Stegostoma tigrinum: one gene and its partners. The protein of the gene in region 4 interacts with the protein of the main gene of each other region in a pairwise test. Links are inferred from orthologs where the notes say so. Each region holds a gene or a part of one and is shown on either strand. Other genes may lie near its edges. The genes, in order: lonrf1l, cacnb4a, testis-specific serine/threonine-protein kinase 3-like and efhc2.

Evidence for each region.
Region 1: the proteins of efhc2 (region 4) and lonrf1l interact in binary tests that used the Homo sapiens proteins (3 or more experiments, as listed by UniProt). The two-hybrid records come from large-scale screens. The link is inferred for Stegostoma tigrinum from reciprocal best matches to the Homo sapiens genes EFHC2 and LONRF1.
Region 2: the proteins of efhc2 (region 4) and cacnb4a interact in binary tests that used the Homo sapiens proteins (3 or more experiments, as listed by UniProt). The two-hybrid records come from large-scale screens. The link is inferred for Stegostoma tigrinum from reciprocal best matches to the Homo sapiens genes EFHC2 and CACNB4.
Region 3: the proteins of efhc2 (region 4) and testis-specific serine/threonine-protein kinase 3-like interact in binary tests that used the Homo sapiens proteins (3 or more experiments, as listed by UniProt). The two-hybrid records come from large-scale screens. The link is inferred for Stegostoma tigrinum from reciprocal best matches to the Homo sapiens genes EFHC2 and TSSK3.

Annotation. Positions count from the first base shown.
Region 1 is NC_081354.1:109,817,899-109,825,444, reverse strand, and holds the start of lonrf1l (LON peptidase N-terminal domain and ring finger 1, like), read left to right. Parts: upstream 1-4,426; coding exon 4,427-4,985; intron 4,986-7,546.
Region 2 is NC_081360.1:87,471,642-87,479,002, forward strand, and holds the start of cacnb4a (voltage-dependent L-type calcium channel subunit beta-4a), read right to left. Parts: upstream 3,307-7,361; 5' UTR 3,107-3,306; coding exon 3,023-3,106; intron 2,496-3,022; coding exon 2,403-2,495; intron 1-2,402. UniProt on the Homo sapiens protein: The beta subunit of voltage-dependent calcium channels contributes to the function of the calcium channel by increasing peak calcium current, shifting the voltage dependencies of activation and inactivation, modulating G protein inhibition and controlling the alpha-1 subunit membrane targeting.
Region 3 is NC_081377.1:46,954,815-46,962,587, reverse strand, and holds the start of testis-specific serine/threonine-protein kinase 3-like, read right to left. Parts: upstream 3,198-7,773; 5' UTR 3,040-3,197; coding exon 2,895-3,039; intron 769-2,894; coding exon 101-768; 3' UTR 1-100. UniProt on the Homo sapiens protein: Serine/threonine protein kinase required for spermatid development and male fertility.
Region 4 is NC_081365.1:42,803,297-42,810,862, reverse strand, and holds the start of efhc2 (EF-hand domain-containing family member C2), read right to left. Parts: upstream 3,034-7,566; 5' UTR 2,959-3,033; coding exon 2,917-2,958; intron 1-2,916. UniProt on the Homo sapiens protein: Microtubule inner protein (MIP) part of the dynein-decorated doublet microtubules (DMTs) in cilia axoneme, which is required for motile cilia beating.

The DNA of each region.
Region 1 (7,546 bases), on a different chromosome or scaffold from region 4:
TTCTATTATAAATCTAGTTATAAAAACTAAAGTTGTGCAGCTACTTACACTCTTAGCACGTTGTAATTAATGGGTTGTGAACATTCTATCTTGCTTAGGGCATAAGATTAAGTGTTTCCTGAGCCTAATTAACTTTCACATCTAGGTTTAAACGCTTTTCCGCTAATGCTTACATTATACGTTGTTTATATATTGAAAACTACTTCTATGATTAAGGATACTTAAACTAGAGTCTATTTAATATTGCAGATAGTTTCAAAGAAGCAACTATTTACTACAAAGTAACTTTAGCTGTTTACTTTTGCAGTTGCCGAGGGACTTAATCTAGGACCTCATGCTATTCATTTACTGGAACAACCATCCTTTTAAAATAAGGTTAAAATTAGTCACTTATCTGTCCTTAGGCATCCTTTTATCAGAGCTTCCTCAGATGGGAGCACACAGCATTCCTTTACTGACCTTCTGTCTGCTTTGTTCAAAGGTACCATCGTATATCATTGTGTGAACAGGCTGCTTAGTTTTGAAAAGCTTCTGTATGCCATTTTGTAAGCAGGCATGGACTATTTTGCCCCTCCAAGTACTACTTCTGAAATGTGGTGAGCACCCATGATCTTTGCAGTAACAGAATGATTTGGAGACCCGTGGCTGAGGTACCCTGACATACCATCAGTCACTCTGTCAAATTGTCAGTCTGTCATTCAGTCATTCTGTTAGTCAGCCTATAACCCAGGCAGTTAGTTTGTATTTTCCCTGACTGTCCCAAACGCAGTCAGTCTGCAAGATAACAAAGTGTGGAGCTGGATGAACACAGCAGGCCAAGCAGCATTTTAGGAGCACAAAAGCTGACATTTCGCCCTAGACCTTTCATCAGAAAAGGGGGATGGGGAGAGGATTCTGAAATAAATAGGGAGTGAGGGGGAGGCGGTCTGAAGATGGATAGAGGAGAAGATAGGTGGAGAGCAGAGTATAGGTGGGGAGGTAGGGAGGGGATAGGTCAGTCCGGGGAGGATGGACAGGTCAAGGGGGCAAGATGAGGTTAGTAGATAGGAAATGGAGGTGTGGCTTGAGGTCGGAGGTGGGGATAGGTGAGAGGAAGAACATGTTAGAGAGGCGGGGATGAGCTGGGTGGGTTTTGGGAAGCACTGGGGGGAGGGGAGATTTTGAATCTTGTGAAATCGATATTGATACCATTGGGCTGCAGGGTTCCCAAGCGGAATACGAGTTGCTGTTCCTGCAATCTTCGGGTGGCATCATTATGGCACTGCAGGTGGCACCAGGATGGACATGTCGTCTAAGGAATGGGAGGGGGAGTTAAAATGGTTCGCGACTAGGAGGTGCAGTTGTTTATTGTGAACTGAGCATAGGTGTTCTGCAAAGCAGTCCCCAAGCCTCTGCTTGGTTTCCCCAGTGTAAAGGAAGCCACAACGGGTACAGCGGATGTAGTATACCACATTGGCGGATGTGCAGGTGAACATCTGCTTGATGTGGAAAGTCATCCTGGGGCCTGGGATGGGGGTGAGGGAGGAGGTGTGGGGGCAAGTGTAGCACTTCCTACGGCTGCAGGGTAAAGTGCCGGGTGTGCTGGGGTTGGTGGCAAGTGTGGAGCGGACAATGGAGTCCCGGAGCGAGTGGTCTCTCCAGAAGGCTGACAAGAGTGGGGATGGAAAAATGTCTTTAGTGGTGGGGTGGGATTGTAGATGGCGGAAGTGTCGGAGGATGACACGTTGTATGCGGAGGTTGGTGGGGTGGTATGTGAGAACTAGGGGGATTCTTTTTTGGCGGTTATTGCGGGAATGGCGTGTGAGGGATGAGTTGCGGGAAATGCAGGAGACTGTGTCGAGGGCGTTCTCGACAACAGTGGGGGGATCTTGCGGTCCTTGAAGAACGAGGACATCTGGGGTGTATAGGAGTAGAATGTCTCATCCTCAGAGCAGATGTGGCGGAGGCAAAGGAATTGGGAATAGGGGATGGAATTTTTGCAGGAAGGTGGATGAGAGGAGGTGTATTCTAGGTGGCTGTGGGAGTCGGTGGGCTTGAAATGGACATCAGTTTCTAGCTGGTTGCCTGAGATAGAGACAGAGAGGTCAAGGAAGGTGAGGCATGTGTTGGAGATGGTCCAGTTGAACTTAAGGTTGGGGTGGAAGGTGTTGGTGAAGTGGATGAACTGTTCGAGCTCCTCTTGGGAGCATGAGGCGACGCAGATACAGTCATCAATGTAACGGAGGAAGAGGTGGGTTTTAGGGCCAGTGTAGGTGCAGAAGAGGGGCTATTCCATGTAACCTACAAAGAGGCAGGCATAGCTGGGGCCCGTGTGGGTACCCATGCCCACCCCCTTTGTCTGTAGGAAGTGGGAGGAATCGAAAGAGAAGTTGTTGAGGGTGAGGCCAAGTTCGGCCAGGCGGATAAGGGTGTCGGTGAAGGGGGACTGGTCGGGTCTGCGGGACAGGAAGAAGTGGAGGGCCTTTAGGCCATCTGCATGGTGACTGCAGGTGTATCGGGACTGGATATCCATGGTGAAAATGAGGTGTTGGGGACCAGGGAATTGGAAATTCTGGAGGAGGTGGAGGGCGTGGGTGGTGTCATGGACGTAGGTAGGGAGTTCCTGGACCAAGGGGGAGAAAATGGAAGCCAGAGAGTTGGAGATGAGTTCAGGGGGCAGGGGCAGGCGTAGATAATGGGTCGGCCAGCGTAGGTGGGTTTGTGGATTTTGGGAAGGAGATGGAAGGGGGCAGTGCGGGGCTGGGGAACAATGATGTTGGAGGCTGTGGGTGGGACGTCTCCTTAGGTGATGAGGTGTGAGTGGTTTGGGAGATGATGGTTTGGTGCTCGGGGGTGGGATCATTATCCGGGTGCGGTAGGAGGAGGTGTCGGAGAGTTGGTGTCTGGCCTCGGCGATGTCGAGGTCAGTGCGCCAAACTGCAACTGCGCTTCCCTTGTCTGCGGGTTTGATGGTGAGGTTGGGGTTGGAGTGGAGGGCAGCACGTTCTGCAGGACAGAGGTTGGAGTGGGTGAGAGGGGTGGAGAGGTTGTGGCAATTGATATCTAGAGGGCAGTTGGAGATGAAGAGGTCAAGGGAGGGTAGGAGGCCTGAGGGTGGTGTCCAGGAGGAGGACTTGTGTTGGATTTCACAAGCTTCAAAATCTCCCCTCCCCCCACTGCATCCCAAAACCAGCCCAGCTCATCCCCACCTCCCAAACTTGTTCTTCCTCTCACCTATCCCCTCCTCCCACCTGAAGCCACACCTCCATTTCCTACCTACCAACCTCATCCCGCCCCCTTGACCTGTCCGTCCTCCCCGGACTAACCTATCCCCTCCCTACCTCCCCACCTATACTCTCCCCTCCACCTATCTTCTCCTCTATACATCTTCAGTCTGCCTCCCCCTCTCTCCCTATTTATTTCAGAATCTTCTCCCCATCCCCCTTTTCTGATGAAGGGTCTAGGCCCGAAACGTCAGCTTTTGTGCTCCAAAGATGCTGCTTGGCCTGCTGTGTTCATCCCGCTTCGCACTTTATTATCTCAGTTTCTCCAGCATCTGCAGTTCCCATTATCTCTGTCTGTCTCATATTCAGTCAGTCTCTACTCTGCGTGTATGTCCCACGCTCAGCCTTTGTCTGTTTGTTTGTCTGTCCCACACTCAGTCAGGTGGTACTTTGCCTAACTGCCCCACATGGTCACACTATATTCTGTCCACCTGCCTGTCCCACACGTCACATTGTTCTCCCCTCAGTCTGTATTCTATGTGTGCCACACCCAGTCAGACTGTAATCTGTCTGCCTGGCCGACCTCACCCACACTCAGTCTGTATTCTATGTGTGCCACACCCAGTCAGACTGTAATCTGTCTGCCTGGCCGACCTCACCCACACTCAGTCTGTACTCTGTCTGTTCTACACCCAGTCAGACTGTAATCTGTCTGCCTGGCCGACCTCACCCACACTCTGTATTCTATGTGTGCCACACCCAGTCAGACTGTAATCTGTCTGCCTGGCCGACCTCACCCACACTCAGTCTGTACTCTGTCTGTTCTACACCCAGTCAGACTGTAATCTGTCTGCCTGGCCGACCTCACCCACACTCAGTCTGTACTCTGGCTGTTCTACACCCAGTCAGACTGTAATCTGTCTGCCTGGCCGACCTCACCCACACTCTGTATTCTATGTGTGCCACACCCAGTCAGACTGTAATCTGTCTGCCTGGCCGACCTCACCCACACTCAGTCTGTACTCTGTCTGTTCTACACCCAGTCAGACTGTAATCTGTCTGCCTGGCCGACCTCACCCACACTCAGTCTGTACTCTGGCTGTTCTACACCCAGTCAGACTGTAATCTGTCTGCGTGCCCCGCCCTCTCCCATGTTATGAAACTTTTGCCGCAGTTATTTTGTACTGTTTGTACAGCCTTCTCCCCTCTCTCGGTCTCCTCCAATGACAGCTGCGCTCTCGAGCACGTGCCAGCCGCAAGAGGGGCGGAGAACGCATGCGCCCGTCACTCGAGCGATGTCAGTGGTTCCGTGCGGAGCTCTTGTTCCCGGACCCACCGGCGTTGTCCATCCCGGGAAGAAGCCTGGGCCCACGGCTGGGGAACAAAGGTCATTGCGGCCTGACCAGTTGCGTGACCTGGTGCACTGTCTCCTGCACCGCTTCAAAAGAAGAGCTGGCGGCCCAAACGGAGCTGGTGTCCCGGCTGGGGAAGGCCTCCTGGAGTGTGGCGGCTGTTGTGGGGAGTTGCTGGCCGAACCTGTCACCCTGCGCTGTGGGCACACCTGGTGCCGGCGCTGCCTGTGGAGGAGACCTCGCTGCCCGGCTTGTGGCGAGGAGGTGGCCAGCGCTCAGTTTCTGCGACCGAACGTCATTCTGAGCCACTTGATTACTAAGTGGTTCCCGGCGGAGGTCAGCCTGGCCCGGGATAAAATCAAACTGGAGGAGCTGCTGGCCCAGTGCCGCTTCTCAGAGGCATTGACCCTGCTGGAGCAACTGGAACTGAGTGAGTGGGGACACTTGGTGTACTTAGAGGTCTCTTTAAGGTTCACTCCCTGTGACTGACTGTTCCCGTTGTGTAAACGGAACCGTGTGTTTTATAAATGGAGACTGCCCCCGCCAAGAACTCAACTCCTCCAGGAGACTGATTGGCGTATTGTTTCTTTTACGGTTTTTGCACTTTGATTTCTGCTCTCGGACCGTAAGGATGAAGCAATGACAACTTCTGTTATTCATAGGCGTGCAGCCTTTCCCTTCCAAGAGGGCGGTGTTCTTGTTATGTAAACAGTACTTACAGTTGGTTACTCAGAAGTGACTGTGACACTTTGTTGCGTTGAGTCCCGTTTATTTGCCAGGGCATTTCTTGCAGCTTCTCTTTCTGTATTCTGAAATAATCGTGCAATCAAATAGGTTAAAGTGGAGTTTGTCGGGGGTGGTGTAAAATGTGGTAACCGTGATCAAATCATTTACGTTTTCAAAATTCAGTGGGCAGTAAGAGTTGCTTCTATTGTGTGACATCACTGTTTCCAGTTTTTAATCGGTTTGAGTTTTGATTTGCACTGGATCATACTGTACTTGCATTCTCAGACGGTAATGAAAACAAGCGTCCAACTAGGCAGTTAAAAATGTGGAGAGATGACTGTCGAGAAAGAGGAATTGCCAGACCAAATCACAAGCTTGAGAGAAGTCAATAGTAATTAAAACTGAACAAAGTAATTTGTTTTCAAGATTGAAAATGTCATCTTCCCAGAATTTGTCAGACCATGTTTTTTGCCTTCATGAGGTGTAGAAAAAGACATGACTGAGACAGTGACCCTTAATGCCTATCATTTTATTGCTCATCATTGTCCTTGAACAGGTGGTGGTGAACTAGCTTCTTGAACTACTGCAGTGTTACTCTCATCACAATACTAAATCTTAAAATATCCCAACTCCTAGTTGTTTCTTCATCATACTGCTGGAAGATTGCATGCTCTTCATTATTATTGCAGATTAGGTTTACCCAGTCTATGCATAATTGAATTCAACCAATATTATTGTATCGCTCTCATTAAATACATTTCTAATGTCCTGATTTCTACTGTGCCCAACGTTACTACTTGTACTGTTTGGTGGCCTGTTTTTTTAAAAAAAACTTGTCAATATTTGCTGTCCATTTCTGCTCCTCACCTCTCCTACACCTTGATCCTTCAATGTAGGTTCCTTCCTAACTATTATACTGATCACATTCTTCATTAAGAGCACTATCCCACCTCATCTGTCTTTTCACTTATGCCTCTGAAATGTTGAATAATTGCAATTCCCAATTTTGGTTACCCTTTAGTTACATCTTTGTAATAATAAATAAATTATACCTGTTAACTTGAATTCGTGTCTTTAAAACAGCAACTTTATTTTTAATCATGTGTACATTGATAGGGTACCTTTAATTCTGCCTTTTTAACATTATTTTGCAGTCTGCTATTTGATGTTTGCTTTCACAACTTTTACTTTGTAATTTTGTGTATTACCCCTTTATTTCCATTGCAGTTTTGTTTCCTCCAATGTGATTTCCCACAGTGGTTCCTTTTCATCTGCCAGTCCAGTCTAAACCCTGCCCAACTGCGATAGCAATTTTCCTTGTAAGGATATTAGTCTTGGCTCCATTTTGATGCAGGTCCACCATCTTATTGAGGTGTCCTTTGCGCAGAACTGGCCCTGATGCCCGCATTTTGAATCAATCAGTCAATCTATTCTTCTGTTCTCATGCTGAACTGGGAGTAATGATGTCCTCGTTCTTCAAGGACCGCAAGTCTCTCTCCCCACCCCCCCCCCCCCCCCCCCCCTGCCGGTGGTCGAGAACGCCCTTGACCATGTCTCCCACAACTCATCCCTCACACCCCACCCCCCACAATAACTGCCAAAAGAGAATTCCCCCTAGTCACCTCCAACCCCACCACACCCGGCACTTTCTGCTGCAACTGCAGGCAGTGCTACACTTGCCCCCACACCTCCTTCCTCACCCCCATCCCAGGCCCCAGATGACTTTTCACATCAAGCACATGTGTACCTGCACATCTGCCAATGTGGTATACTGCATCTGCTGTACCTGTTGTGGCTTTCTCTACATGGGGGAAACCAGGCGGAGTTTTGGGGATTGCTTTGCAGAACACCTACACTCGGTTTGCAATAAACAACTGCACCTCCCAGTCGCGAACCATTTCAGCTCCCCCTCCCATTCCTTAGACAACATGTCCATCCTGGGCCTCCTGCAGTGCCATAATGATGCCACCCATAGGTTGCAAGAACAGCAACTCATATTCCACTTGGGAATCCTGCAGTCCAATGGTATCAATGTTGATTTCACCCACCTCAAAATCTCCCCTCCCCCCCACTGCATCCTAAAACCAGCCCAGCCTATCCCGACCTCCCTGACCTGTTCTTCCTTTCACCTATCCCTTCCTCCCACCTCAAGCCACACCTCCATTTCCTATCTACTAACCTCATCCCGCCCCCTTGACCTGTCCGTCTTCCCCGGACTGACCTATCCCCTCCCTACCTCTCACCTATACTCTCCTCTCCACCTAT
Region 2 (7,361 bases), on a different chromosome or scaffold from region 4:
CACCATGTTTCTTCAATCAAAATGCATTACCTCGCATTTCATCGCATTGAAATCTGCGAGGTCATTTAGCCCAACTTGACAATGTCCCTCTAAAGTCAGTCAGCATCATCCTCACAATTCACTATTCTCTCTAGCTTAGTATCATTTGCAAAATTAGAGATTTTGCCCTCAACATCCATCTCCAAATCGTTCGCATAAATCAAAAAAGGCAAGGGTCCCAACACCAATATCGGGGAAGCACCACTTTGAATTTGTCTCCAATCTGAGAAATGGCCATCTCTACTTATCATCCGTTACCCAACAACTAATCCATGCTGTCAAAGACACATTAATCCCAAACATTTTTAAATTTGTTAACCAAACTGCCATGTGGCATGATACCAAATGCTTTCTGAAAGTCCAATACACAACATCCACAGCACTGCCCTCACCCATTGTCTGAATCTTCATAAATATAATTCAAAACTATGTACATACATGTAATAAGTTTTCTTTAGCCTATAATACCATAATCACTCAAATGGGAGTTTTCAGGTTCAAAGTATCAAAGTGAGTGGATACAGTGCATGGAATTGTTGCAATTGCTGAGTTCAATAATTTGAATGCAGATTTCTTCCATCACAATGTAGCATTGATGGCCAAGGAGAATCATCTTATGACTGCATCAGACCAAGTCTTCAATGTATAATTCAGCTTGATAGCTGAACAGTGGTGTTTTGCCAGAGCTCCTACCATTTGAATGCATTGTGAAACCAAGGCCCTCAGACAGATATTAAAGATTGATACTGCTAATCAGAAAGAACCACCAAACCCTCCCAATGCCATTTCTGATGTTGCTTCCTCACCCAAAGCTACCATAAATAGATTAATTGCTAATTTGCCTTATTGTTGTTGGTGGAGTATTGCTCTGCGCAAAATGGCTGCTGCATCTCACCTTTACAGTAGTAAATATGGTACAGATTACCTGAGAGCTCTGTGACATCACTGATGACATGATTAGATGCTATATAAATGTGTTCATCAATAAAAAAAAATTTTAAATAAACATTATGATTAAAGATTTGCACTTGTGCACAATATAGCAAAACATAAATGTGAAGAATGCTTCTGTGATTTTCATTCAAAGTTGTGTATGTGTTTAAAAACGCAGTACATCTCTAACACAACTGTTGTAGATTGTAATCCACTTTATTTTAGCGTCTAATCACATCATCAGTTCAAGAGGAACTCAGGATAAGCAGTAAATGCTGACAATTTCACTGACATCCCATGAATGAATAAAAATATTCATTTTCACAAATGTCATTTTCTCAATCTGCCCAGCAGCATGGAATCATGAGGGTGGTAACATACTAAACTCTAGGCATGTCACAGCTTAGTGACACAAGTATATTCAGTATAGATTCTTGATCTGAACGTAGAGCAGCAGCAACATTTCTTAATCTGGAACATTACAGTTGTTAGAGCAGAGAAGCTCATTCCAGAGTGTTCCTGTCTGGCATAACTTTTTTTTGGCAATACTCATTTCAGACGGTTGTAAATGGGGTCATCCACTTTTCGACCTTTTGCGTTTAGTCATGACATTAAGCCAATCAAAGGGAATCTGAAACAAAAAATCACCACCGCTCCTAGCTGCCCACAAACGCCTCCTATCCCCAACTCACAACCTTCAAGTCATAGTAGAGTCATACAGCAGTATAGCTTGGAAACAGACGCTTCGGTCCACTCATTCATGCTGACCATATATCCTAAATTAATCCTGTCCCAATTGCCAGCATGTAGCCCATATCCTTCTAAACCCTTCTGCTTCATATATACATCCAGATGCCTTTTAAATAGTGTAGTTGTACCTGTCTCCACCACTTCCTCTGGCAACTCATTGAGAGTCAAAATTATCTCTATCAATCAACAAAGTCACATCTCTAAATCCGAAACCCTTCTTCAAGCTTGTAATCATTATGCTATTAGTGATGACACTAATGGATAATGCTAATTAGACCCAATTTATATTATAACAGCTTTCTCAGATTTAAATAAAAGGCTTTAATGGAAAGAAAATAGAACGTGCTGGCAAAGTCAATATATCTCCTTATCAAAAAATATAAATTGTGCCATATTTAAATTTCTTCAGGGCTAAATAGGCTATCAAGTGTCACAAAGCTGCAATGTCACGGTGGTAGTACTTTTAATTAATGGGTTCAAAAGTTCAGGAATCGCTGTCATGAGCATTTACCGAGGATTTTCTGCTGACGAAGTCCACGAAGTGCAGGGAGAAGAATCCTAGTCTTTGCTTAGGTCCCCTGATACACAGTGGTAACGTCCCTACCTCTCGTCCAGGGGATCAGGGCTCAAGTTCCGCCTCCTCAGGAAAGGTTGATTGGAAAACATCTATCGTGCCCTACCTGTCGGAGAATGAAGCTGGTGGAAGTTGTCTCGGACGATGTGCTTCCATCGGAACGTTTCAACCTGCTCCTCCTCCTGTTCACCCGGGTCAACTTGCCGAACATGGGAGGAGGGAAGAGAAAGGGGATACGTGAATGAATTGCTGCTCGATTTAACTGTCAAATCATATAACATTGAATCAGTGGGCCGTAGCAATAACATACAACGCGTTAGAAAAAATGAACTGTCTTTTCTAATAAAAAGGAATCAGCCTTACAGAATTAATTTGCAAAAAAAGTTTCTCTTTACAATGAGAGGGGAAACCTTAGAAAAAGAGAAGTTGCATTCCTTATCTGAGCGTGCTCACGGAATGGAATAATTAAAAGTAGCACTTTTTTGATTATTTCAACATCAGTTCACGCTCCTGTTTAGGCTACGGTCATGCAAAATAAATCACAAATTGGCGTGCAGGAGAAAGGAGCCTGTCAACCCCCCCCCCCCCTAACAATTTCAGAAACGCAAACAGAAATTGCTGGAAGAGCTCAGCGGATCTGGCAGCATCTGCAGACAGGAATCAGAATTAAGGTTTTGGGTCGAGTGACCCTTCCTCAGAGGTTAATAATTTGAGGCAATCCCTTACCTGAAAGATGGGCGGCTGTAGCCCATCGCCTGGAATGTCTTTGGTGAATAAAGGTCCAACTCCGGACATCTTCAGATAGATCATGAGCTCGGGACGCTGCTGGAGCTGCTTTAGCTGGAATGAGGGATCCAGTCCATCGAGCTGGCGCTACTCCAGCCCCTGGTGGCTCTCACTAGCCGCTGGAGCTGGCCATCGAGACGTGCTGTCTGGCTGATGGAAGAGGGAGGGGTGAGTTACCGTACCCACCGTCTGATCCCTACACCTCCCACCCCTCCCCCTCAGGAATTCACTCAGTCCCAGGCACGGCCGTAGCTGCCCTCACCACCCCCACAGCCCCCTGCAGCCAGTCAGGAAGGTGTCAGGAATTATAGGAGGAAACCGGGGCGAGAAATATATCCGCCTAGGGAGGGGGAGGGATGACAGGAGGAGGGGTCAGTAATGCAGCGAGGAAAATTAGGAACCGGGCTGGGAAGAATGACCTTGTGCAATCTGGCCTCCTGTCCGCGGAGATGTGCCTGGTGTGTTCAACGCAGTTTGTACAGTCAGGGCTGTTCACCTTCGGGGAGCTGGCGGGGAAATTACAGCCTTTTTTTTCCTCCTGTGCGAAAGACGTCCCAATCTAACGACTGCAGCAAACGCATCGTTTTTTTGGATCATTTGCACCGCCAGGAAGAATTACGAGTGGCAGGTCATCATGTTTGTAATTATTACCACGAGTCTTTATTATAGAGAAGTGCAGATTAAATAATCTCAGCGCCTCGGCAGTGCTCAGGTGCACAATGTTTGACACATGGCTGTGCATTTCCTGAACTATCCCTGGCGTGGATTTAAAATCCATCCCCCCCCCCCCCCGCTACCTACAGAGGAACGGTCACTCCATTCGAAGCGTTCATTCTGATTTCTCGCCACAGAAGCTGTCAGACCTGCTGTGCTTTTCCGGCGATTTCTGGTTTTGTTTTTTTTTGGGGAAAAAATGAAGCTACTTTATTCCATTTCAGGACGGTGACACCAGTTGATCTTTCCAGGGACAGTATCTGCATATACAGCAATGATACAATAACAGAAAGCGATTGTGCCAGTTTCTGAACTTTTCAGAACCCCAGTGTCGGCGCTTCAAAACAACACGACGAGCAGGAGAAAACCGGCGTTCACTTTTTTTTAATTTGAATTTATGCATTCCCATATTGACGCGGTTGCCACTGAGGCCAGCATTTATTATCCACCTCCAATTGTCCCCGAACTGAGTAGCTTGCTAGGTCATTTCACGGGGTAGTTAAGAATCCGGAGTCACATCTGGCCCAGATTTTTTTCCTCATTTTCATTCACAGAGTGTGCACTCCACCGACTGGATCCGTGTTTATTGTCCATCCCTAATTGCCCAGAATTTGCTTAAAAGTCAAACACATTGCTCTGGGTCTGGAGTCACATGTGGGCCAGACCGTGTAAAGATGGCAGTTTCCTTCCCTCAAGGACATTAGTGAATTTTTTTTAACCCCCAAACAATCATCATGGGATCCTTAATTCCTTTTTTTTAAAGAGTTGAATTCACCTACCACTGCAGGATTCAAAACCAGATCTCAGGGTTTGGGTCATTGGATTAGTTGCCTACCATGACCACTAGGCCTTCACCTCCCTATTCAGGTAAGATTGACATAAACATACCTTCCTTTCTTAAAAGACTCTATGACCATCGCTGATCATCACTTTGGTTTCAGTTTCACGTTCGCAATCCACCTCCACATCCCTGAGAGACTTGAGACATGCCTATTCGCAGCCTTAAGAATATTGGTGCATGTATTGATACATGCACAACCCTCTGAGTTAGTGAATTCAACAGATTCAGAGCCCTTTCAGTGAAGCTATTGCACCTCATCTCAGTTTTAAACAATTGGCCCCTTGCTTTTAGGCTCTGTTCCTAGTTCTCTATTGCTAGGTCAGGAAAAAACAGCTGCCAGCATCTGTCAGTCTAACTTATGGTCTTGAACATTTCATTGCATTCACCTCTCTTTTGTCTAAACTCCTGAAAGCGTAGAGTCAGACAGTCATAGACACGTACAGCTCAGAAATAGACAATTGGTCCAACTTGTCCATGCCAACCAGTTACCTTAAATTAATCTAGTTCTATTTGCAAGCATTTGGCCCATATCCCTCTAAGCCTTCTTATTCACGTATCCATCCAGATGCCTTTTAAATGTTGTGATTGTACTAGCCTCGACCACCTCCTCTGGCAGCTCATTCCATACACGCACAACTCTCTGCATGAAAAAATTGCCACTTAGGCCCCTTTAATATCTTGCCCCTCTCATCTTAAGTAAATGCCCTCTCTGATGAAGGGTCCAGGCCCGAAACGTCAGCTTTTGTGCTCCTGAGATGCTGCTTGGCCTGCTGTGTTCATCCAGCCCCACATTTTATTATCTTGGAATTCTCCAGCATCTGTAGTTCCCATTATCTCTTAAGTAAATGCCCTTTAGTTTTGGACTCCCATATCCTGGGAAAAAGGCCTCAGCTATTGATCCTATCCATAACCACCATGATTTTATAAACCTCTAAAAAGTCACTCCCTTAGCCTCTGATGCTCCAGGGAAAATAGCCACAACCTATTCAGCCCCTCCCCATGGCTCAAACCCTCCCACCCTGGCAACATCCTTGCAAATATTTTGTGTACCCTTTCAAGTTTAACAACACTCTTCTAAGAGCAGGGAGAGAAGAGTTGAATGCAGTATTCCAAAATGTTTTCAGCCGCTAGAATGAATTCATAGGATTTCTTTTCAATGACTATCAAAACAACATGAGGATTATTGTGTGAAATAGGATAAAAGGGTGTCCATTTGTAACATAAGGATAATTGTGGTCCAGTTTGCTGTAAGTTCTTTGTTGTTCTATATTCCATATTTGAAATTTAAATAGATCTAATAGAGGCCATGGAGTTGGTCATTGTGCTTTAATTTAGGAACACGAACCTTAGCCAGAGTTTTTCTTCTGATCACTACACTTATTAGTACCAGGTGATGATAACTCTCAAGTGTTACAGCATTGCTACCTTTAGAATGTCCACAAGTATGCAATGTTGAAGATCACAAAGGAAGAACGACATTTCTACTGAGCAGGAAAGTACCTGCAGGACAAAACTTCAACAAGAAATCAGTGACTTCAGAAGAGAGATATGCAAAATTTACCACAGAAAATTGGAAAGAAATAAATGGCTAATTAGGACCAAGTTGAGTTGCTTGCCAGCTTGATGCAATGGGAGCTGCAGGTTATCAAAGGTCTGTGATCATCATTCATGCAGGATTTTCATACATGACACTGAACTCTCAAGATTCTGGAATGGGATACCACATTTACTTTGTGTAAAAATATACAGCCTGGGTAGAGTAGGGTGGCATAGTGGCTCAGTGGTTAGCCCTGCTACCTCACGTGACAGGGACCCAGGTTCAATTCCAGCCTTGAGTGACTGCCTGTGTGGAGTTTGCACATCCTCCCTGTGTCCGCATGGGTTTCCTGTCAGTGCTCCAGTTTCGTTCCACAGTCCAAAGATGTGCAGGTTAAGTGGAATTGGCTACACTGAATTGCCCTTAGGGTTAATGCATGTGCATTCCAGTTGGGTTAGCCATGGGAAATGCAGGGTTACAGGGGTGGGGAGTTGGGGTTCTGTGTGGGATGCTGTTTTGAGGGTCAGTGTAGACTTGATGAGCCAAATGGCCTGCTTCCACACTATAGGGATTCTATAATTCTTAAGTTGCTCTGCTTGTAATAGAAGACATAGATTTAAAGTGATGTGTGAAAGCAGCAAAGGTGATGTTAGAAAAACCTGCGCACAGCGAGCAGTTAGGGTATGGAATATAGTGCCTGGAAATGTGATCGAGGCAGTTTCACTTGCAGCATTAAAAGGGCATTGGATGACTATTTAAAATAAAATAGCATGCAGGGGTATGGGGAAAAGCAGCAGATTAACATGCGGTTAAAATTGCTCATTTGACGAGTTGGTGCAGGCACGATGGACCATAGCCTCCTTCTGTGTCATAACAACTGATCATTAAATGATAAAGCACAGTTTTGTGCTGATTGAAAAAGAGCTATCCAGTCTTATCTCAATGTCCAGCTATTAGTCTATACATTTTGGTACCTTAAGTGCAAAATCAATTTTTTGCAGTGAAGACTTCAACTTTAACACCCTTTCAGGCAGTGAATTTGAGATCTCCACCACTCACTGAGTGAACAAAAAATGTCCTCCACTGCTCCCTAATGGTTCTGGGTCTGCCTCACACAACACCAGTTATTGACTTCTCTGCTGAGGGATTTTGGGGGTCTGTGTGGGATGCTGTTTTGAGGGTCAGTG
Region 3 (7,773 bases), on a different chromosome or scaffold from region 4:
AAATTAGGTTCCATGCCAGCAGCCAGTGTTCATTCGTACCCTGTATACTGCCCTGTAACCTTTTTTAAAAAGGTGAAACGACCAGTTTTGATTCTCATGTTTATTGGCTGTCTGATAACCATGGATGGAAGCAGACCTCCTGGATTGGAGGTCTCAGACTGCAATCGGGTTCCAACAATCTTCCAACAAGGTCTCGACATTCTCGGCTCAGCTCCAGGTGCTGCGGGAATGCCACCCCGTTCTGCTGCAGCCACAACATCTTGGGAATGTTGGAGTCATCGAAAGGCAGGTGTCCGCACAGCATGATGTACAACACAATGCCCATACTCCAGATGTCACTCTTGATGCTCTCATGTGGAACTCCCTGGAGAACCTCTGGTGCAGCGTAAGCTGTGCTACCACAGAATGTCTTGCTTAACTCAGCTGTCCCGGTCCGGAAATTCTTAGCGAAGCCGAAGTCTGCCAACTTCACATTGAAGCTTTTATCCAGCAGAGTGTTCTCACACTTCAGATCTCTGTGAGCAATACCACAGTCGTGACAGTATCGAATTGCTGCTACAAGTTGACGGAATAAGGTTTTTGCCAGTTCTTCTGGTAACGGCCCTTCCTTTTTGATGTGTTCCAGAACATCCCCACCTTCTGCAAGCTCCATGATTATACAGATCTTGCCATCATCACTCTCCCAGATTTCGTGAACCTTAATGATATTTTTGTGATCCAAGTTCTGTACTATTTGCAGCTCTCGTGGGAGAAATTTGTGGATGAAATCTAGAAACGGAAAATGCAATATTTTATAGGTTGAAGCCTGTTGTGTGTCTTACGTGATTAACATTTTGCTTACATGACCCTTTGATTATTGACTAGGTGCGGTCTGCTCTGAGTAGGGGTTTCAGCAGCATTAGGGATTGGCCGTTAGTGCTGGGTTTGCCAGTAACACCCAATTGTAGTAATGGATTTAAAAACAACTGTTTTCTTTCGCGAGTGTGTAAAGGCTGCATACATCCTATCCAGATATATAAAGAAACCCAATATTGAGGTGTTGCTGTAGCGCAGTGGTAATGTCCCTACCTCCCGGGTTACCAGGCCTCGGCCCAAGGCTGAAATTGTGATCAGAGATAGTAGGAGCTGCAGATGCTGGAGAATCCGAGATAATAAAGTGTGGAGCTGGATGAACACAGCAGGCCAAGCAGCATCTCAGGAGCACAAAAGCTGACGTTTCGGGCCTAGACCCTTTTTTCTGATGAAGGGTCTAGGCCCGAAACGTCAGCTTTTATGCTCCTGAGATGCTGCTTGTCCTGCTGTGTTCATCCAGCTCCACACTGTTATCCTAGGCTCAAGGCTGACCTGCTCCAGAATTGTGTAATAACATCTGCCTGGTTAGAAAATATCTTGTAAACAAATGTTTGAGTTATCGAATGACTAACTCAAATTGCATATTTAAAAAAAAAAGTACCTGATTAATTCGTCTGCGAAATTGTAGCCTAACAGAAGCCAGTAAGGTGTAACATTTCTGTTTCTGCATTGGCTGCGTATGTCAACCAAGCGGCTGTCTGTACATTTTATTATTGAAATTACTCATGAACATTGTGTTTCGGAATACAATGGGGCGTCCCTTGTCTGGACGTTACCTCCCCTAGCTCCCAGCAAAATGGCGGAAAAATGTTAAAGGTGATCATACTGACTACTTTACACTTGAACCAAATTCCGAATCTAGATTTGTTTTTCTATTTTATTTCCTATTGGGTTGTTGGATTCTAGTTAATTCAGAATTGTCCCTGCTGTTCACACATTCTTAAATCTTTTAGCATTTATTCTACCACTTTCTCCCCCCGCCCTCGTCTCTTGTTCTTGTTCTGTAGTTCATGCGCTGTTTCAAATTTAATTCCACTTTTCCATTGCAGAAAGGTTTAGATCCGAAACATGTTTTCTTCACAGCTGCAGCCTTATCTTTCTAAGTATCAGACACGAGGAACTCTCCTTTACAACCTGTCCCCTCGCCTGAGGCTTGGTGCCCCTCATGTTAAACCACCCTCGGTTGTCTTTTTCTCTCTCTCTCATGAGAGAGTAGTCCCTTAGTCCTTTGGGATTGTGGTAACTTGCAGATTTAAAAGTTTTGACTGTTTTGTTTACTTTTTAAATATGTTGTCTTTAGCTGCTGGTCATTAAAAATTTATTTTTATTTAATGATATCCTGATTACAGAACAAATACTGCTATTTTATGAAATAAGGGATATGAATCATTGATCGGTCAATGCACACACTGGCGTAATGAATAATAAATCTTAATTCTCACTCTAAATCTAAAACTCCTGCTGGATTCCCCTAACATCTCCTCCGGTCGTGGAAGAGCTGGCGCTTTGCTCGCCACTCGGACTTCATGAGATACTAGCAACAACCGGAATAACAATTTTGAAACCGGGAAAGTGAGGCTATACACTAAAGGAGCGGGTCACTTGAGTGCAACGAATTACTGATCCTGGGATTTAAAAAATGAGTTGGAAAGTGAAAGTCCAAATGAACAGACCCTTTTAAACAGTGAGTGGAAACTGAAAAATTCTCTCCGCCTTATTTTGTTGGGGTTTTTCTGAATAGTCGAGAATCATTTAGAATTAGTCATGTATTTTTAGTTAACGTATGGACTCCAAGTGATGTTCGAGTTGGTCCCACTTAGTCTCTACTCTAGGTGAAATCTTCATTTCGGGGGAGTTACTCGCTGTGCGCAGACCTTAGTTTAAAATAAAATAAATGTCATAGCACTTGAAGCAGAACACAAGCTACTGATGTAATATTGGTTGCTTCACTGATTAGCTGCACGTCATCAGGTGGACGTGAATTCCGTAGCTAATGAACTGGGACGATTTTTAAGAAGTTGCTCAGCCGCTGTGTGCCTTACCCTTTGGTACTGTCTGGCGGTTGATGATTTTGATGGCCACTTTCTTCTGCTGGTTTCTGCAGTAAGCTTCTTTCACTTTGGAATAAGTCCCCTCCCCGATCGTGTTCCCAAGTTGATATCCTTTAGACAGGAGCAGTTTTTCCATCGCTTCTCATCCACTTTCTTAACCAGTTTCAACGATCACATTCCTCAATTTAGCCAGTTCCACGCAACCTACCCAATGTTTCTCGGCTTCCCAGCTTATTTCTAAAATCGGACATTATATAAAAAAATAGCAATCCCGGGTGTGACCGCCCAGGCAAAACCATGCCAGTGGATATAAATATGACTTCATTATGATGCCATAATTTACCTGTTACTAAGGAGACTTTGTGCTGTCTGCTCAAGCTGTCTCGCTGATAGTCATTGCTTTAAAAGTCTTTAAACAAATCAAGGATTGGGTTGTAAGCAGTTAGTTGGTTCGGATTGGAGCCTCTAGTTAGCGCCGAGAAGGGAAGCTCCGGACCTTCTCCTCTCTCTCCCCCCGCCAACTTCCTTCACCAAGTCCCTTAAAGCACAGCGCCTCACACAAACTCAGGAAATCTCTGTCAAACCACAGCTCAACATGTGTCAGCTCCGCCAAGGAATGGGGAAAATGACGCCGTTCCACTTGATGACATCAATTCAAAACCTCGCCAAGGGCGGTCTGAGAGAATGGGGTCTGTCCAGCCGCCGCTGCTGCCATCATCATTCTCACCCCGAAAGCTAGTCCAACTCTACACCATGATAATGTTCATTTTCCTTTTCAATATGACCTCGAGCCTTGTCCTTTTTGATTGGTACACTGATAAACTTTCCATTTGTGAAAAATCCGTGCTGTTACATAGATAAGCTGCAGAGCTGGGCTGAGAGGTGGCAAATGGAGTTTAATGCAGACAAGCGTGAGGTGATGCACTTTGGTAGGAATAACCGGAAGGCAAAGTACTGGGCTAATGGTAAGATTCTTGGTAGTGTAGATGAGCAGAGAGATCTCGGTGTCCATGTACACAGATCCTTGAAAGTTGCCACCCAGGTTGACAGGGCTGTTAAGAAGGCATACAGTGTTTTAGCTTTTATTAATAGAGGGATCGCGTTCCGGAACCAAGAGGTTATGCTGCAACTGTACAAAACTCTGGTGTGGCTGCACTTGGAGTATTGTGTACAGTTCTGGTCACCGCATTATAAGAAGGATGTGGAAGCTTTGGAAAGGGTGCACAGGAGATTTACTAGGATGTTGCCTGGTATGCAGGGAAGGTCTTACGAGGAAAGGCTGAGGGACTTGAGGCTGTTTTCATTAGAGAGAAGGTTGAGAAGTGACTTAATTGAGACATATAAAATAATCAGAGGGTTAGATAGGGTGGATAGGGAGAGCCTTTTTCCTAAGATGGTGACGGCGAGCACGAGGGGGCATAGCTTTAAATTGAGGGGTGAAAGATATAGGACAGATGTCAGAGGTAGTTTCTTTACTCAGAGAGTAGTAAGGGAATAGAATGCTTTGCCTGCAACGGTAGTAGATTCGCCAACTTTAGGTACACTTAAGTCGTCATTGGACAAGCGTATGGACATACATGGAATAGTGTAGGTTAGATGGGCTTGAGATCGGTATGACAGATCGGCCCAACATCGAGGGCCGAAGGGCCTGTACTGTGCTGTTATGTTCTATGTTTGGTTTGGGATGTAGATTGCCGACTGCCAAGTTTTTGCTGGTCCGCTTCTTTCTGGAAGCTGGTGCTCCTTTGATATCGGAGAGGAACAGGGTCATTTTACAGACAGCAGCAGCGAGGATCACACGCTAGACTCTCACGGTTGTCTTCATGTTGTGTTTGAGATAGCTCTCCTGGAAACCATCCGCAATACAATGTCGAGTGATCAGGATTGTGAAATTACCAGGGACAGTTGTAATTACAAATAGCTCAATAGTTGAAGTTTTGGAAAATTTGATTAAAATGTCTATGCTATTGCGACGCAAATGTGACAAAGATGATGGCAGTTACTGCACTGCTGATTCAGGGAGAGTTTTCATTCAATTAACTGAATAAATCTTAAATATATAAAGCTAATCTTAATAATGACTATGAAACTACTGGATTTATAAAGAACCTCCGTGGTTCACTCATGCCTTTGAGGGAAGGAAATCTGTGCTACAGAGTCTGGGCTACACATGACTCCAGGTGAATAATGTAATCTTTGCTTCTTTGTTCCTAAACTGCCAGCAAACCACTCAATATGATGTGGTTAAAATTGTTTCGGAGATAGTAGGAATTGCAGATGCTGGAGAATCTGAGATAACAAGGTGTGGAGCTGGATGAACACAGCGGGCCAAGCAGCATCTTAGGAGCAGGAAGGCACGTATAGAATATTGCTGGATGAACACAGCAGGTTAGGCAGCATCAGAGGAGCAGGAAAGTCAACATTGCAGATTTACACCCTTCATCAGCAAACCGCTTAGCTCTATTAAGTTGGTACAATTCACTAAACCAGTAACATTCAAGAATAAAACATGTTGACCATTTAGCATTGTTTTCAGACATACCCTACCCAGCCAAACCTGCGATATTCTTCTTACTAATATCTGGGGACATCTATAAAGAATTAGGAGAGCTGTTCTACAGACCAGCCAAGCAACAGTTTCACTCGCAATTATTACCTACACCTTATGTCCCTGACACTACCACCACTATGCCTGCATAAGCCCTGCCCCACCACCAGAACACACCCACTGGAAGGAGCAACAGTCATATGCTGCCAGGGGAATGAGCTCCACATACACACATCTGGAAATTCAATGAAGATTGCACAAATGTATAAAAAAAAAGGCTGTAACATTTGAAATCCTCCTAATCCAGGAATGTCAAGTTGATGATTCATCTCAGTCTCTTCCTGAGGTCCTCACGACCACAAATGCCAATCTTCACCTAATCTGATTGCCTTACTATGATATTAATTGGTGCCTGAGCATGCTGGAAGCAGTAATGGCCCCCTCTGTGGCTGTAACACTAGTACTAATCTGACATGTATTATGAATAAAAATTCTACCAGACCAATCACTACACCATCAGTCCCTTCTCAACATAGAAAGCAGGAGTAGAAGTAGACCATTCAGCCCTCAAGCCTGCTAGATCATTTAATGCGATCATGGCCTATTTGTTTTCACATTCCCAGCTACTCCCAAAAACCCTTGATTCCCTACCTCCAAGAATCTGTTGACCTTCTCTAAAATATTCAATCACTCTGCCTCTAATGGAGAGTTCCAAAGTCACACAGACTTCTAAGAGAAAAACAAAGTCCCCTGATCGCTGCCCTGAAAGGGTGAACCCTGAGTTTAAAATAGTGTCTATTTGTTCGGGATCCACCCACAAGTGGAAACTTCCTTTCCTTGTCTAAAGTCACTCCACACTCTTCCAAACTCCAGTGGAAACAAGCTCAGCCTGTTTAAACTTTCCTCAGACGATCTACAAGTTCTAGGTATCAATCTAGTGAACATACTTTGAAACACTTCCAATCAATTTATATCCATCTTTAAAAATGAAGACCACAACTGCACACAGTATCACAGAGGAGTTACAACACTGTAGACCATTTGGACCATCGTGTCTACATTGGCTCTGTATTTAAAATGTGGTCTTACCACTGCCCTATATAATTGAACCATAATACCTTTATTTTTTGATGTTCAATTCCTCGTGCAATAAATAATAACATCCTATTAGCCTTTTTGATTATGTGCTATGTTTGCATACTAACCTTTGATGTTGCACTCCATCAAAAAACCTTTTGGAAATCCAAGAACAGTAAAGTGGCAAGCTTCCCTTTTCCTATAGAATAAAGAACACCCATAGATTGGTTAAACATAATTTCCTTTACAGCAAAACACACCAACTTTTCCTGATTACTAGAATTTTCCGAAGTGTGCAGCTACATGAAACAGTTGGGCCTATCACCTTTCCCAAGACAGACAGCAAGGTAACAACTGCATTATAGTTTTCTGCCTCTTGTTCATAAATGGGGGCGGGAGGGCGTTCAGTCTGATGGTACCTTTAAATGGCACAGTGCCTCAGTGGTTAGCACTGCAGCCTCAGCCCCAGGAACCTGGGTTCAATTCCAACCTCAGGCAACTGTCTGTGCGGGTTTCTTCCGGGTGCTCCGGCTTCCTCCCACAGTCCAAAGATCTGCAGGCTAGGTGGATCGGCCATGCTAAATTGTCCGTAGTGTTCAGGAGTGTGTGGGTTATAGGAGGATGGGTCTGGGTGGAATGCTTCAAGGGGCAGTGAGGATTTGTTGGGCTGAAGGGCCTGTTTCCACACTGTAGGGAATCTAATCTAATCTTTCCTGAATCAAGTGAATTTTGGAAAATTGACACCAATGCATCAATTGCCTCATTAGCACCTTTTTTAAGACCCTAGAATAAAATGCATCTAGACCTGGAAACCTATCGGCCCACAATTCCATTAGTTTGGTTTGTGCCATTCCCTTGTGGTTGTAATTTCAATAAATTCCTTCCTTCCTTCCATTTCCGCATTAGCAGATGTTACTGGAATGTTTTTATGACCTATAGTGAAGACTGACCCAAAATGTTTGTTAATTTCATCTGCTATGTCCTTGTTTATATTAGATTAGATTCCCTACAGTGTGGAAACAGGCCCTTTGGCCCAGCGAGTCCACACCGCCCCTTGAAGCTTCCCACCCAGACCCATCCCCCTTTAACCCACACACCCCTGAACACTACGGGCAATTTAGCATGGCCAATCCACCTAGCCTGCACATCTTTGGACTGTGGGAGGAAACCGGAGCACCCGGAAGAAACCCACGTAGACACGGGGAGAATGTGCAAACTCTGCACAGACAGCTACCCAAGGCTGGA
Region 4 (7,566 bases):
GCAGCTTTATTGGGGTTCCTGGGTGCCATACTTGGTCAAATCCTGCCTTGACATCAAGGCAGTCACTCACTTCACCTAAGGAGATCAGTTCTTCGATCCATGTTTAGACCAAGGCTGTAATGAGGTCAGGAGCCAAATGGACCTGGCAGAACTCAAACTGAACATCAATAGCAGGTAATTGTCAAGCAAGTGCCACTTGATAGTACGGTCACTGATTTCACCATTTTACTAATGATGGAGAGTAGACTGCTAGGGCAGTATTGGCGGGATTGGATTTTCCTGCTTTTTTTGCACAGGATATAACTGGGCAATGCTCCACATTGCTGGGTAGATGCCAATGTTGTAGCTGTACCTGTGTTGTCACTTCACCAGGCTGAAACCTTATTTTTAGGTATGATCGTTGTGGTAGAGTAGAACTTTGCCAGGCAATGAAATTACAGATTGCGGTTAATTACAATTCTACTCACATTACAGAGCTGCTTGATCTGTTCAAGTCCATCCTATTTAAGTGTTAGTGCCTAACAACAGAATGGAGGGTATCTTTGATGTGACTTCATCCACATGACCTCCTTTTTAACTCAAATCGAAAATTTTTCTAACTACCTAGAAATGTGCCTTGATAGACCCATCAGATATGACAAGAGGGGCATGGAGGGAAGCTGTAGGTTTATTAGATATGGAGCATGCATGGGACAATAGATGGAAGATTCCTGATGACTTGGGCAGCGATTGGGGAAGATAGATTGCCTAAGAGAAGAAATGAATGAAGGCATGATAACATTAAAGAATCTAGAAGAAGTAAAGAGAAAAATAAAAGGGGGGTGGTGGGAGAAATATTAGAAACAGAAGCAATGGTTTCGGGTCTTCAGTTCTGTAACAGCAGCAGTAGCAGAATAGTTTTGTAGTCACTTGTAAGTCTTTTAAAAATGTGCTCAATTTCATAGTAGTTAATTCTACCACCTGCTGTTAATACAACACTTTGAATCGACCAAACAGAATATTAAAGCAACTCCTTCTAAAGATAGAATAAGTACAAACCTTCAAAGAGAATGCTCAAATACAAACTAAAATGCAGTTCAGCAATTTAAATGCAAAATCATCTTCAAATCTGTTTCATATAGATTTGATAGTGATACACAAAATTATCATAGTATCACATTTTACACCTCTACCTTTTTTCCTTCTATAATAAAAAAAATCACCTAGTAAAATTTTAACGTTGATGAACTCAAATAATTAGAGGGTTTTGGACACTTGCATAAAGGCAGTATGAAACGGCTTCCGTCTGAAACTCTGCCCTGACAATCAGAAACACAATTATTAACATAAATTGGTGATCCTTGGGCATTGAGACACCCAAAGAAAATATAAATAGGTCATTTAGGCTGAAGAAAGAACTTCAAAAAATTGCACTTTTTCTGTTGTTTTAGAAAGTTATGTTTACTCAATTTTTTTTAGGATAAAAGTGCACCTAGTATCACAAGTCACATTTTCAAATCCATAAGTAAACCTGCTTTATAAAGGTGAGCTTGCCCCTTTCTTCAAAAATAGATTTGTTTATAGGGTGTGAGCCAGCAAGGCCAGCATTTGTTGCTCATCCTGGATTGCTTTCGTGAAGGTGCTGGTGAGCCACATTTTAAATTGCTGAATCCATCTTGTCTGCACTCACAGTACTGTTAGGAAGGGAGTTACAAGATTTAGAATTCCTGACAGTGAAGGATTAGTCATACAGTTCCAACTCAGATGGTGGCTTTGGTACAAATGCAAGATTTTAGAAGAAAGGTCCTGATCCAAAACGTCAACTTTCCTGCTCCTCTGACATTGCCTGGTCTGCTGTGCTCCTCCAGATCCACACGATTATCTCTGAATTCAACATCGGCAGTTCTTACTATCTCCAAGATTTTAGAATATTGTTTTAAACCATCTCCATAGTTTAAGGTAAATTGGTAATGTGATCTGTTTTGTATTCTGTTTGACAACAAGCCTACGTGGTTTCCACAGGGACAGGATTGCACATGTTAAGACTTACTGACAGCAAGGTGCAAGATGTTCATACCTGAAAATAAAGGCTGAAGCAACAGGGCTAACTGTGACAAGACTTTCAGTCTCCATGTTTTTGGGCTGAAAGAAAAGCAGATCTTTAACAGAGATTAAAGATTGAAGTTAGTAAGGTCAGCAGAGTGAAGGCTGTACAAGGCATGAGACAGAAGGAGGAAGGGAGGACTGTCTTGGGTGCAAGAGGCCAATTTAACAGCACTCTAAGTTTAGCACTTGAGGCCAAAAGGAGGAATTGCTGGAGCGGGCTTTGTTGTTGGTGGTCACTTGGGGAATTTCCTGTAAAATGATGGAAGCATCTTTCAACAATCACTCAATGTTATAAAACTGCAAGAAGTGCAGACATGAACCCATTGGAAGTGGGAATTCCAATGGATGACATCTTTTGAATGACAGTTTTCATATATCAAACAGAACACCTATCCAACCCAGTGTTCACTCTACTCATCTCTTCTGTAGGCAGCTGGATAGTTTGGTGTGATCATCTCCAAACAAAGAAACCAGTGCACCACCAGCCCTGAGAATATTCCAGGCCTTTTATTAGTGGTATTTTCAATCATTGTCAGTGCAGTGGTTCCCTCTAAACATTAAGACGCAACTGTGACCACCCTGACAATCTCATACAGTGTTGTGCCAACTAGCCAAAACCCTGCAGGAAGTATTTACTACTCGTGCACAGAAAGTAGGAATAACAATGTTGAATGTTAACAGTATGGAAATTTTTGTTTAAAAAATGAGTTACAAACAAGCAAACATTTACTCCCCGGGGTTTCCTCAAAGGTTGGTGTTGAAGTCAATTTTGAAAGAGAAAACAGTTTCTTAAATGTGTCGATTTTTATTACTTGCAGAGAAGTTACTCACATTCTTGTTGAATGTGTTCCCAGGTAAGAGTGGTAAAGTCATGTTTCCTCTGCTCCAGGCTCTTCTCTATGTTTGAGTCTCCGTTGCCTCGGTGACAGTGACGTCGCTATGCTGGGCCGTACATTCCGCCATTAAAAGAAGGGCTTCAACAAAAAAAAACTTTTTTTGGCAGATTCTTGCGCGGTGAACCCTTCTGTCCCAGTTTCACATTTTTGCTTGCACCGACTTCCATTCAATCCGTTGTTGTTTTTCCTAAATTCGAATGTGTGATGCATTCGACAAACACGACAAGAAATAGTTCGCCATCTTGAGAAGGTCAGCGGCCGTCATTCCTTGGGTCTTAGATAACGAAATGTGAGGCTGGATGAACACAGCAGGCCAAGCAGCATCTCAGGAGCGCAAAAACTGACGTTTCGGGCCTAGACCCTTCATCAGAGAGGGGGATGGGGAGAGGGTTCTGGAATAAATAGGGAGAGAGGGGGAGGCGGACCGAAGATGGAGAGAAAAGAAGATAGGTGGAGAGGAGAGTATAGGTGGGGAGGTAGGGAGAGGATAGGTCAATCCAGGGAAGACGGACAGGTCAAGGAGGTGGGATGAGGTTAGTAGGTAGCTGGGGGTGCGGCTTGTGGTGGGAGGAAGGGATGGGTGAGAGGAAGAACAGGTTAGGGAGGCAGAGACAGGTTGGATTGGTTTTGGGATGCAGTGGGTGGGGGGGAAGAGCTGGGCTGGTTGTGTGGTGCAGTGGGTGGGGGGGAAGAGCTGGGCTGGTTGTGTGGTGCAGTGGGGGGAGGGGATGAACTGGGCTGGTTTGGGGATGCAGTAGGGGAAGGGGAGATTTTGAAACTGGTGAAGTCCACATTGATACCATATGGCTGCAGGGTTCCCAGGCGGAATATGATTTGCTGTTCCTGCAACCTTCGGGTGGCATCATTGTGGCACTGCAGGAGGCCCATGATGGACATGTCATCTAGAGAATGGGAGGGGGAGTGGAAATGGTTCCCTCTCCCTCCCATTCTCTAGATGACATGTCCATCATGGGCCTCCTGCACTGCCACAATGATGCCACCCGAAGATTGCAGGAATAGAACTCATATTCCGCCTGGGAGCCCTGCAGCCTAATTGTATCAATGTGGACTTCGCCAGTTTCAAAATCTCCCCTTCCCCTACTGCATCCCCAAACCAGCCCAGTTCGTCCCCTCCCCCCACTGCACCACACAACCAGCCCAGCTCTTCCCCCCCACCCACTGCATCCCAAAACCAGTCCAACCTGTCTCTGCCTCCCTAACTGGTTCTTTCTCTCACCCATCCCTTCCTCCCACCCCAAGCCGCACCCCCATCTACCTACTAACCTCATCCCACCTCCTTGACCTGTCCGTCTTCCCTGGACTGACCTATCCGCTCCCTACCTCCCCACCTATACTCTTTCCACCTATCTTCTTTACTCTCCATCTTCGGTCCGCCTCCCCCTCTCTCCCTATTTATTCCAGTTCCCTCTCCCCATCCCCCTCTCTGATGAAGGGTCTAGGCCCGAAACGTCAGCTTTTGTGCTCCTGAGATGCTGCTTGGCCTGCTGTGTTCATCCAGCCTCACATTTTATTATCAGGGGACAAACTGGGCTGGTTTTGGGATGCAGTGGGGGAAGGGGAGATTTTGAAGCTGGTGAAGTCCACATTGATACCATTGGGCTGCAGGGTTCCCAAGCGGAATATGAGTTGCTGTTCCTGCAACCTTCGGGTGGCATCATTGTGGCACTGCAGGAGGCCCATGATGAACATGTCATCTAAAGAATGGGAGGGGGAGTGGAAATGGTTTGCGACTGGGAGGTGCAGTTGTTTATTGCAAACCGAGCGGAGGTGTTCTGCAAAGCGGTCCCCAAGCCTCCACTTGGTTTCCCCAATGTAGAGGAAGCCACACTGGGTACAATGGATACAGTTATACCACATTGTCAGATGTACAGGTGAACCTCTGCTTAATGTGGAAAGTCATCTTGGGGCCTGGGATAGGGGTGAGGGAGGAGTTGTGGGGACAAGTGTAGCATTTCCTGCGGTTGCAGGGGAAGGTGCCGGGTGTGGTGGGGTTGGAGGGCAGTGTGGAGCGAACAAGGGAGTCGCGGAGAGAGTGGTCTCTCCAGAAAGCAGGCAGGGGTGGGGATGGAAAAATGTCTTGGGTGGTGGGGTCAGATTGTAGATGGCAGAAGTGTTGGAGGATGATGCGTTGTATCCGGAGGTTGGTGGGGTGGTGTGTGAGAACAAGGGGGATCCTCTTTGGGCGGTTGTGGTGGGGGCGGGGTGTGAGGGATGTGTTGCGGGAAATGCGGGAGACGCGATCAAGGGCATTCTCGACCACTGTGGGTGGAAAGTTGCAGTCCTTGAAGAACTTGGACATCTGGGATGTGCGGGAGTGGAATGCCTCATCGTGGGAGCAGATGTGGTGGCGGCGGAGGAATTGGGAATAGGGGATGGAATTTTTGCAGGAGGGTGGGTGGGAGGAGGTGTATTCTAGGTAGCTGTGGGAGTCGGTGGGCTTGAAATGGACATCAGTTACAAGCTGGTTGCCTGAGATGGAGACTGAGAGGTCCAGGAAGGTGAGGGATGTGCTGGAGATGGCCCAGGTGAACTGAAGGTTGGGGTGGAAGGTGTTGGTGAAGTGGATGAACTGTTCGAGCTCCTCTGGGGAGCAAGAGGCGGCGCCGATAAAGTCATCAATGTAACAGAGGAAGAGGTGGGGTTTGGGGCCTGTGTAGGTGCGGAAGAGGGACTGTTCCACGTAACCTACAAAGAGGCAGGCATAGCTGGGGCCCATGGCCACCCCCTTAGTCTGTAGGAAGTCCACTCCCGCATATCCCAGATGTCCAAGTTCTTCAAGGACCGCAACTTTCCACCCACAGTGGTCGAGAACGCCCTTGACCGCGTCTCCCGCATTTCCCGCAACACATCCCTCACACCCTGCCCCCACCACAACCGCCCAAAGAGGATCCCCCTCGTTCTCACACACCACCCCACCAACCTCCGGATACAACGCATCATCCTCCGACACTTCCGCCATCTACAATCACGACCCCATCACCCAAGACATTTTTCCATCCCCACCCCTGTCTGCTTTCTGGAGAGACCACTCTCTCCGTGACTCCCTTGTTCGCTCCACACTGCCCTCCAACCCCACCACACCCGGCACCTTCCCCTGCAACGTAGGAAATGCTACACTTGCCCCCACACCTCCTCCCTCACCCCTATCCCAGGCCCCAAGATGACTTTCCACATTAAGCAGAGATTCACCTGCACATCTGCCAATGTGGTATACTGCATCCACTGTACCCAGTGTGGCTTCCTCTACATTGGGGAAACCAAGCGGAGGCTTGGGGACCGCTTTGCAGAACACCTCCGCTCGGTTTGCAATAAACAACTGCACCTCCCAGTCGCAAACCATTTCCACTCCCCCTCCCATTCTTTAGATGACATGTCCATCATGGGCCTCCTGCACTGCCACAATGATGCCACCCGAAGGTTGCAGGAACAGCAACTCATATTCTGCTTGGGAACCCTGCAGCCCAATGGTATCAATGTGGACTTCACCAGCTTCAAAATCTCCCCTTCCCCCACTGCATCCCAAAACCAGCCCAGTTCGTCCCCTCCCCCCACTGCACCACACAACCAGCCCAGCTCTTCCCCTCCACCCACTGCATCCCAAAACCAGTCCAACTTGTCTCTGCCTCCCTCACCTGTTCTTCCTCTCACCCATCCCTTCCTCCCACCCCAAGCCGCACCTCCATCTCCTACCTACTAACCTCATCCCACCTCCTTGACCTGTCCGTCTTCCCTGGACTGACCTGTCCCCTCCCTACCTCCCCATCTATACTCTCCTCTCCACCTATCTTCTTTTCTCTCCAACTTCGGTCCGCCTCCCCCTCTCTCCCTATTTATTCCAGAACCCTCACCCCATCCCCCTCTCTGATGAAGGGTCTAGGCCCGAAACATCAGCATTTGTGCTCCTGAGATGCTGCTGGGCCTGTTGTGTTCATCCAGCCTCACATTTCAATATTTTGGATTCTCCAGCATCTGCAGTTCCCATTATCACTCATTCCTTGGGTCTTGATGGTTCATATTTTGTTATAGTCTCCATCCGTATTAATTGGCAGTCGCTGCATCCTCTTCCAAATTATCCGGCTCTTGCTCATGCCTCCAGATTCCGTTTTTACCTGACTTGCTGCTGAAGCAAATAATACATTGCTCCTACCTCCCATCGATAGCTGAGATTAAAACTAATAAAAAGTTTGGAGCAACTATTTGCATAGCGCCTCTAACCTGAAATTGTCCCAAGAATTCTCAGCAAGGGAAGAGAACAGAAGAGCTCGAAGAGTGGCAGTTAATGAGGATTTAAAAGGAAGGTGGAAGTATACAAACCTGGGTGTACTGTGTATCTGCTTTAAAAAAAAATGGTGGTGAAACTCAGCAGGTCAGGCAGCATCTGTTGGGGAGGGGAAAAAAAGCAGAGTTAATGTTTCGACCCTCGCACTTCTTAATCAGTCCAATACTTCCCAGAGTAAGTGACTGCATCAGAAGTGAGTTTCGCCAATAATTTGTTTCAGTTTTCTACCATTTTGCAGCTCGTTGCTTATTGTAGTGTTTACCTGCTAATACAGAAGAGACATCA